2 linked regions of the Canis lupus familiaris genome follow. The protein of the gene in region 1 interacts with the protein of each later gene in a biochemical or structural test. Links are inferred from orthologs where the notes say so. Each region holds a gene or a part of one and is shown in the gene's direction. Other genes may lie near its edges. The genes, in order: CDC34 and RNF7.

The links.
Region 2: the proteins of CDC34 (region 1) and RNF7 form a complex in vitro, tested with the Homo sapiens proteins (5 studies listed by BioGRID). The link is inferred for Canis lupus familiaris from reciprocal best matches to the Homo sapiens genes CDC34 and RNF7.

Annotation. Positions count from the first base shown.
Region 1 is NC_049241.1:58,444,762-58,448,660, reverse strand, and holds the start of CDC34 (ubiquitin-conjugating enzyme E2 R1), read left to right. Parts: upstream 1-1,007; 5' UTR 1,008-1,029; coding exon 1,030-1,206; intron 1,207-3,391; coding exon 3,392-3,478; intron 3,479-3,583; coding exon 3,584-3,681; intron 3,682-3,899. UniProt on the Homo sapiens protein: E2 ubiquitin-conjugating enzyme that accepts ubiquitin from an E1 ubiquitin-activating protein, and catalyzes its covalent attachment to other proteins by an E3 ubiquitin-protein ligase complex. In vitro catalyzes 'Lys-48'-linked polyubiquitination.
Region 2 is NC_049244.1:38,109,628-38,113,526, forward strand, and holds the start of RNF7 (RING-box protein 2), read left to right. Parts: upstream 1-1,324; 5' UTR 1,325-1,418; coding exon 1,419-1,593; intron 1,594-1,812; exon of another isoform or gene 1,813-1,880; intron 1,881-3,899. UniProt on the Homo sapiens protein: Catalytic component of multiple cullin-5-RING E3 ubiquitin-protein ligase complexes (ECS complexes), which mediate the ubiquitination and subsequent proteasomal degradation of target proteins.

The DNA of each region.
Region 1 (3,899 bases):
TCTTCCTCCGGTCCCCTGTCCCTCTCCTCTAGATGAAATGCTGCTTCCCTCGCGCCAGACAAGGCTCCCTGTGTGTCCTCACCTGGGCGACGGCAGCGGGGGGCGGGGGGGCAGGTGTTGGGGCACCTGGAGGAGGGGCTCGCAGCACAGGTGCTGGTCTGGGGCCTGCCGGACACCTGCCAGCGAGGCTGCGGGCACAGCGCCACGCCCACCCTCTGGGTCCCTGAGGGCGTGGAGGATGGAGGCCGGGGCCAGGTGTGCGTCCAGGTGTGCGTCCAGGTGTGCGTCCAGGTGTGCGCCCGGCGCGGTGGGGACTAACCCCGCCCCCAGCTCGGCCCCGCGCTCCGCTCCCCCGAAGGGAAACTGAGGCCCCGCCCTCCGCTCCTCCCCTTCCGCGAAGCCACCTGCTCCGCCCCGCCCGGGCCAGGCGACCCCGCCCCGGCCCCGCCCCGCGCTGGGACGTCATAGAAAAGACCCCAAAAGCCCCGCGGCGCGTGCCGGGCCGGCGCAGCCCAGCCCTGCCCGCCTCCCCGCGCACAGACGTCCGGGGTGCTCGTCCGAGCGGCGGGCGGCGGCGGCGGCCTCCCGGGGGTCGGAAGCGCCCAGGCGCCTGCGCGCTTGGCCTCCCCCCCCCCCCCGGTCCCTCCCGGCGGTCGCGCCTGCGCGCTCGGCGGGCCGGGGGCGGGGACTCCACTTCCCGGCGTGCCCCGCGGGCGGGCGCGCAGGCTCAGTGCGGGCCCCGCCGCGGCGCGCAGGCGCGGTCGGGGGGCCGGAGGCGGCGCGCACGCGCAGCGCGGGGCGGGGCGCGCGGGCCAGGCGGAGGCGAGCGCCGGGCGGGCGGCGGCGCCAGAGCGAGTGGAGCGTCCCGGGGTCCCGGGCGGCGGCGGCGGCGGCGAGGAGGAGGAGGAGGAAGGCGGCGGCGGCGGCCCCGGCGTCCCCCCGGCCGGCGCGCGGCCCGGCCCGTCCCGCGCCCCCGCGGCGGCCCCGCGGCCCCGCGCGCCCCCGACCCCGGGCCCCGCCGCCGCCGCCATGGCCCGGCCGCTGGTGCCCAGCTCGCAGAAGGCGCTGCTGCTGGAGCTCAAGGGGCTGCAGGAGGAGCCGGTGGAGGGCTTCCGGGTGACCCTGGTGGACGAGGGCGACCTGTACAACTGGGAGGTGGCCATCTTCGGGCCGCCCAACACCTACTACGAGGGCGGCTACTTCAAGGTGAGCCGCGGCGCCCCCGCTCGCCCCGCTGCGCCCCCCGCCGGCCGCGGGGTCCCCGAGCCGTCCCGCCGCGCTGCCTGGAGCCGGGAGGGCCGCCGCGCCCGGCCTTGGCCGCGTTTCCCTGGTGTGACAAAGGACTGGAGCCAGGCCCCGGGCGGCCCTCCTGACCTCGCCGCCGGAGCCCGGTCGGGCCGGAGGACGCTTCTCAGGTTGCAGGGCCGGGCCGTGCACGCGAGCCAGAGGCGCGGGCCAAGGGGTCTCGCTGCCGAGCGGTGGGGAGCGAGCCCTCGGCCCAGGCCGGCCCAGGACCCTCCCTGCTCGGGAGCCTGCGCGCCCCGCCAGGCCCCGCCAGGCCCCGCCAGGCCCTGCCAGGCCCTGCCAGGCTCTGCCCCGGGCAGGGTGGGGAGCAGAAGCCAGGCGGTGGGGGAGGGGCGGCCGCTGCTCCCGGGGCACATGTCTGTGTTTGCACTTTCAGCTGATGTTTTAGCTGAGCCTGCTCGGCCGCGGGCGTGAGGGAGCAGCCTGGTCAGCTGGGGCGACTCCCGAGTTGCGAGCACCCCACCGTGGTGCTGCAGTGGGACGAGGGGGCGTGAGCGTGGACAGCCCTGGGCTAGCTTCTGCATGGCCGGGGAGCCCGGCCCCCGCTGGCACGCAGGGCACGGATTTGGGGTTGGCCACCTAGTAGCGCATCTAGGGCCCTCGCCAGCCTCCTGTGTCTGCTTCGGGCTGCAAGGGCGACGGCTCTCGCAGCCGGGACGCTCAGGCAGGCCGAGCCCCTGGGTGAGGCTGCAGAGCTGGAGGGAAAGGGCACAGGCTTTGGGCTTCTGATTTTTGCCGGTTAACTGGTTGCAAGGGATTGTGGGTAGATCCTCCAGGATGGCTTTGGGGGGGAGGGGTCATCCCACTTGAGAAGAAGGGACTGGAGCTGGGCCACGGCCAGATTTCCAGATGCCACAGGCCCTGTCTGCAGGAGGCCGGCCTGGGCCCCACACCCAGTGTGGTCCTCGTGCAGGTGCGACGGGCGGGAGCGGAGCTGGGGAAGCGCAGGGAAGTACCACCGTCACTTCCAGCCACTTCCCCCAGCGCCCTGCGGCCAGCCCGGCCTCCCGAGCCTCCGTGACCAGACGGGGTGCCAGAGACAGGCAGTTCAGAGGCCTCCTCCCGGCTTATCGCCGGGCGTCCTCAGTAGGGGACTTTCCTTCTCTGAGCCTGAGCTTGCTCAGTGGTGCGGTCTCCCCGGGGGATGCTCGATTCGGTGGGTGCTTGGTGCCAGGGAGCCCCCCCGCCCCGCCCCCGAGGGCCATCACTGGAAACTCTTAGGGCAGGTTCTGAGTTCCAGGAGTGCTCTGCAGTCGCCAGCCAGCTGCCTGCCTCCTGGGCCTCAGCATGGTCACCCCAGAGCAGAGGGACTTCCCCCAAATGCCCCGAGTGCCCCCTGCCCAGGAAGGAGACTTTCCAAATTCGGGCCTGGGGGAGTTGCCGCACACGTGCCCAGCTTTGTCTCCCAGCTCGCTGGCTCGCCCCTGCCGGCCTGGAGCTCCGCCAGGATCCGGGGCCAGGCCTCCCCACGTCTGGGCCTGGGGCTCAAACAAGCCAACACGGCTTCTTTACCTGCTGAGGCCTGAGCAGTGTGTCACCTGGGCAGGTGGCCCTCCCCAGTCTGCCCCGTGACCTTCCTGTCTGCCTTCCTGGCCCCCCCGTGATGGACACTTGTGGGCAGAGAGCCCGTCTGTCCAGCGCTGACTCATCTCCTCCCACAGGGCCCGGCCCACAGAGGTGTCGGGAGTGATTGCTGAGTGAACACACGTCTATTTTAATCTTCCCCACAACCTGGAAACTGAGGCCGAGGAGTCCACCACCGTGCGGGGGTGCACAGCTCCCAGGGCCCTGCCAGCCGGAGCCATGTGCCGGCCCGAGCCCGCCGCGCTCCCTGGGGCCTGGCTGCGCGTCCCTCCCACAGGCCTGGACTGAGCACGGCCTGAGACCTGCTCCCAGCCGCGGGGTGGGGCCCGGATCGGCTCGGGGGACCCTGAGTAGTCCTGGGGCCTGCGGGCGGTGCGTGCGGCAGGCAGGGTCCAGGCGGCCTCCGGGCGGGCGCGTCTGTCCCAGCTCACACCCTGGTCTGCGGCCCTGGGCTGGGGGCCGTGGGCGGCACTGGCTGAGCTCCTGCGCTCTGCCCTCCCAGGCACGCCTCAAGTTCCCCATCGACTATCCCTACTCCCCGCCGGCTTTCCGGTTCCTGACCAAGATGTGGCACCCCAACATCTACGAGGTGAGTCCGCCGCGTGCCCTGCAGCCTCCCTGTCGGGGGACACGCTGCGCTGCCTGCCGAGTGGTGAGCGGTGTGGGCCCTGATCCCTCCGTCCTGTACCCACAGACGGGGGACGTGTGCATCTCCATTCTCCACCCCCCAGTCGATGACCCCCAGAGTGGGGAGCTGCCCTCAGAGCGGTGGAACCCCACCCAGAACGTCAGGTGAGAGTGGACCGGGCCCTGTGTGAGGGGCTGCTCAGCAGATGGACCCCTGCCCCTGTGGGGCTCCCTCAGGCCCGGCCAGCCCTGGGGCGCGGACGCGGGAGGACAGGGCCACGACTCCCTGCAGTACCGTCCAATCTGCCCTGGCTGGCCTCCCGCCGGGATGCGGGGGGCCCCAAAGACCCCTGGGCCAGCTCGCAGGCCTGTCCTCATTTCTT
Region 2 (3,899 bases), on another chromosome or scaffold:
AGATGGGAGGCTTGGAATCCCAAACCCGACACTACAGGCGTCCACCACTAGGTGGTGGTGGTAATGAGTCACCTCCTTAGGCATTTGGTACCTCAACTTTCTTATCTCTTAAAAAGGAAGATGTTGTCTCTTTGCTTGAGAAAACAGAAGAACATGACCCCGAGGCTAGCAAGAGAAGCGCCCAGGCTTCATAACTGGCACCTTCACATGATAATAGCGGTGTTACTCCTACACATTAAAAAGAGGAGGTTAAACAGCAGCAGAGGTTCTTGGAGCATGGACCCCTGCGTCCGGGGCATCCTTGCAGGCGACCAGCGGGTCAAAACTATTTGCATGCCAGGATTCAGAGCTATTCTCCCTCTTTTCCCTCTTTATGAGAGCGTTTTCCAGAAGCTACATTATATGGGCACCATCCCTCTAATAACTTGTAATGAGATGATTACTATTAGTTTTTTTTTTTTTTTTTTTAGAGAGAGATTTTACTTATTTATTAGAGGCAGAGAGAGGCAGAGACATAGACAGAGGGAGAAGCAGGCTCCCTGCAAGGATGTGGGACTCGATCCCGGATCCGAGGATCACGACCTGAGCCAAAGGCAAACGCTCAACCACTGAGCCACCCAGGCGCCCCTGTTACCGTTACTTTTAAATGGATGCATTTCAATCCTCCCCTCAAATTTTTAAAAAGATTTTATGTATTTATTCATGAGCGACAGAGGGGGGTTGGGCAGGGACCCAGGCAGAGGGAGAAGCAGGCTCCATGCAGGGAGCCCGACGTGGGACTCGATCCGGATCCCGGGTCTCCAGGGTCACGACCTGGGTCGAAGGCGGCGCCAAACCGCTGAGCCACCCGGGCTGCCCGTCGATTTAAGCTTCTTAAAAAGCAGACAGACTACATCGGGGTGCTGAGCCCCGAAAGTCTGAGAACCGCTGAACCAGGTTTGTCGGAAGACCTGGAGGCAAACGTCTCCTGCATACGGAGGACGAGGCGCCGAGGGCGAAGACGCGGTCCCCGCTCCGGCGGGGTCCACACGCGGGTGGCGGCGGTGCCACGAACGAGAGGCCTGTGAGGGCGCTGAGCTCCCGGGAGGCACACGGCAGGCACACGGCAGGTCGCCCGGGGCCTGCGCAGGGCGCTCGGGGCCGCGGGCACCCAGGCTTCGCGCGCAGTCGCCCCGCAGGCCTCGCCCTCCGGGAGGCCCCCGCGGGCCGGGGGCGGGGCGGGGCGACGAGCGGCCGGGCGCTGGCGTCAGTGACGTCACTGGGCCGCGCCGGCCAATCGAGGCGGCCCGGGTCGTAGGCGCCGCCGGGGTCCGCGGCCTGCAGGGGGCGCTCTGGCCCGCCGGGCGGCCCCGCGGAGCCGCCATAGCCGCCCGCCTCCCCCGATTTAACGTCTCGGCTGCCGGCTCCGCGCCGCCGCCATGGCCGACGTGGAAGACGGCGAGGAGCCCTGCGCCGTGTCCTCTCACTCCGGGAGCGCAGGCTCCAAGTCCGGAGGCGACAAGATGTTCTCTCTCAAGAAGTGGAATGCGGTGGCCATGTGGAGCTGGGACGTGGAGTGCGATACGTGCGCCATCTGCAGGGTCCAGGTGATGGGTAAGCGCTGCACGCGAGGCCCGGGCCGCGCCACGGCCTCCGCGGGGCCGACTCGGCGGGGGCAGCCGGGGGAAGCAGGCTCGGCGAGACCCGGGGCGGGAGGAGCGGGGCGGGGCGGGGCGCGGGGGCCGCCGCTGGGGCTCGGGGGCGCCGGGCGCCGGGAGCGGGGCTGCCCGGGAGGGACGCGGGCAGCGAGCGGAGGAATTGATGTAATTCCAGGTAGAGAAAGGGTGTGGCCGAAGAACTAAAACTGGGTCATTTGATGGCAGCGAAGAGAAGCCACTTAGGTTTGTGCGGCGAGCTCCAGCTCTTGAAAGCCAGGCGCGGAGGGGTCGGCGTGAAAGGCCCCGGGCGAGTAAGGGCACCTTAACGGCAGCGATGACCCGCCGGGGTGATGCTCTGGAGGCCGCTCCCACCGGCGCGACCCCTCAGTCCGCCCCGCAGCGGCGGGAGGCGCGGCAGCCGTCGCGTGTCTGGGTTGGCGAACTGCTGTTGCGCAGGCCTGCGGACCTGCCCGCGCCGCGATGGGGCCTCGGAGAGACACAGGGTGGTTCAAGGACGTGGGGCAGCGCGGGGCGTGACCCCGGAGGCCGGGGCGTGACCCTGGAGACCCGGGATCGAGTCCCGCGTCGGGCTCCCCGCAGGGAGCTGCTTCTCCCTCTGCCTGTGTCTCTGCCTCTCTCTCGCTCTCTCTGTGTCTCTCATGAATAAATAAATAACATTTAAATAAAATAAAATAAAATATTGAAGGTTCTCAGGAATGGAAGAGTGGATGCCCTCTTATTCAGAAACATAAAGCTTCCATCTCCTTCTGGCCCCTCCCTATCATAGGATGCCATTTCCTGAAGAAAAACAAAAAACAAAACAAAAAAAAAACAACGATCCTGCCCTGCTCCGAGTCAGACCTTTATGGAGAGCCCTCTTGCACAAATCAAGTCTCGACTTCTTTTCTGTGATACTTCCAAATGAAAACACTGGGCCAAACGAGACCTTTCAGAGCAGCTTCATCCTGTTACGTTTTATATGCTCTCTGTTTTTTTTTTTTTTTTTTTTTTTTTTTAAGATCTCAAACCACCTTGCAAAAGACAATGCTACCTAAACGCAAGTTATTTTTTTATTTTTATTTTTTTAATAGAACAATCAAAACACGGAGAGAGGATCTTCGTGTTTCTTAGGGGTAGGTGGGGAAAACTGAGGTTCTGCAGTTTGAAAACTTCGTGTCCTGCTCTGAAAAATGAGAGAATTGGAGAAAAATAAACAGAATTGCTCTCTCAAGGGATGACATTAAAACCTGCTAGAATGGAGAGAATCTCAGTTTCCACTCTTTTTAAGCACACTTGTTTTTTATTCATAAAATCTTGTTTCAGAGAGTATTTATGACAATAGGATTCAAGTATTGTTTATTTTTTACTTTTGAGTGCCCGCTTGGGCAGTACCTATGCTAAAATTGGAACGATATTTTTTACTTTTGAAAGAACTTGATTTCAGACACGATCCACTTATTTTGCATATTAGGTCTTAAAAGCACCCAGTTTATTGGTCTGCATTACCACTCCCTTATGCCTCGGTTACTTAAACTATCATAATTTCCAGTTTGAGTGGCATCATTAACTTATCCAGGCAACTTAATTTTTTGTTCTTTTGCATAGCAAACTTTGCTTAATGTTTTATCCTTTAAATTTCCTTTAGTTAAAAAGAAAGTGTTCCAGAAAGTGTTTTTTATATTTCTCCCCAAAGAAAGATTTTAGATTTGTAAGTAGAAATGCAGAATTCAAAGTAATGGTTGAAATACTGCAACAAATAAACTGTACTGGCATATTTAGAGTAAGTCAGAATATGGGCTATAAATGGTTGACATTCATAGTAACCTTCTAATTATAGCAAGTATTCTGACTGTGGATTAATTTTGCAGATTTACAACAGCTGTCCTTTGAGTTAAGGAAAGTATTCTGGACTAGACCTCTGTATTTTGTTTATGAGGTGTTAAAATCCATTTTAGTGGCCAGGTGACAACAGAAGGAAGTTTTTCAGACTTCCTAAGCCTTACCCTAGTAGCATCATTCTAAAAGGTATTGCTGTAATTGTACTCCTTAAAAATGTTCTGTTTTAGATCTTAGGAATATCATGGAAAGAATTTTCTTTATCTAAAACTATGAATTTTTATAGATTTAGGTTGGGTTTTGTTGTTTTTCACTCTTAGGTTGGGTTTTGATGAGTCTAATCAAAGCTCAATCAAAATCATAATCCAGAAATTTCTAGATTCTGCAAAAGAGCCCACTTAATTCCATCTCCTTAATATTTCAAAT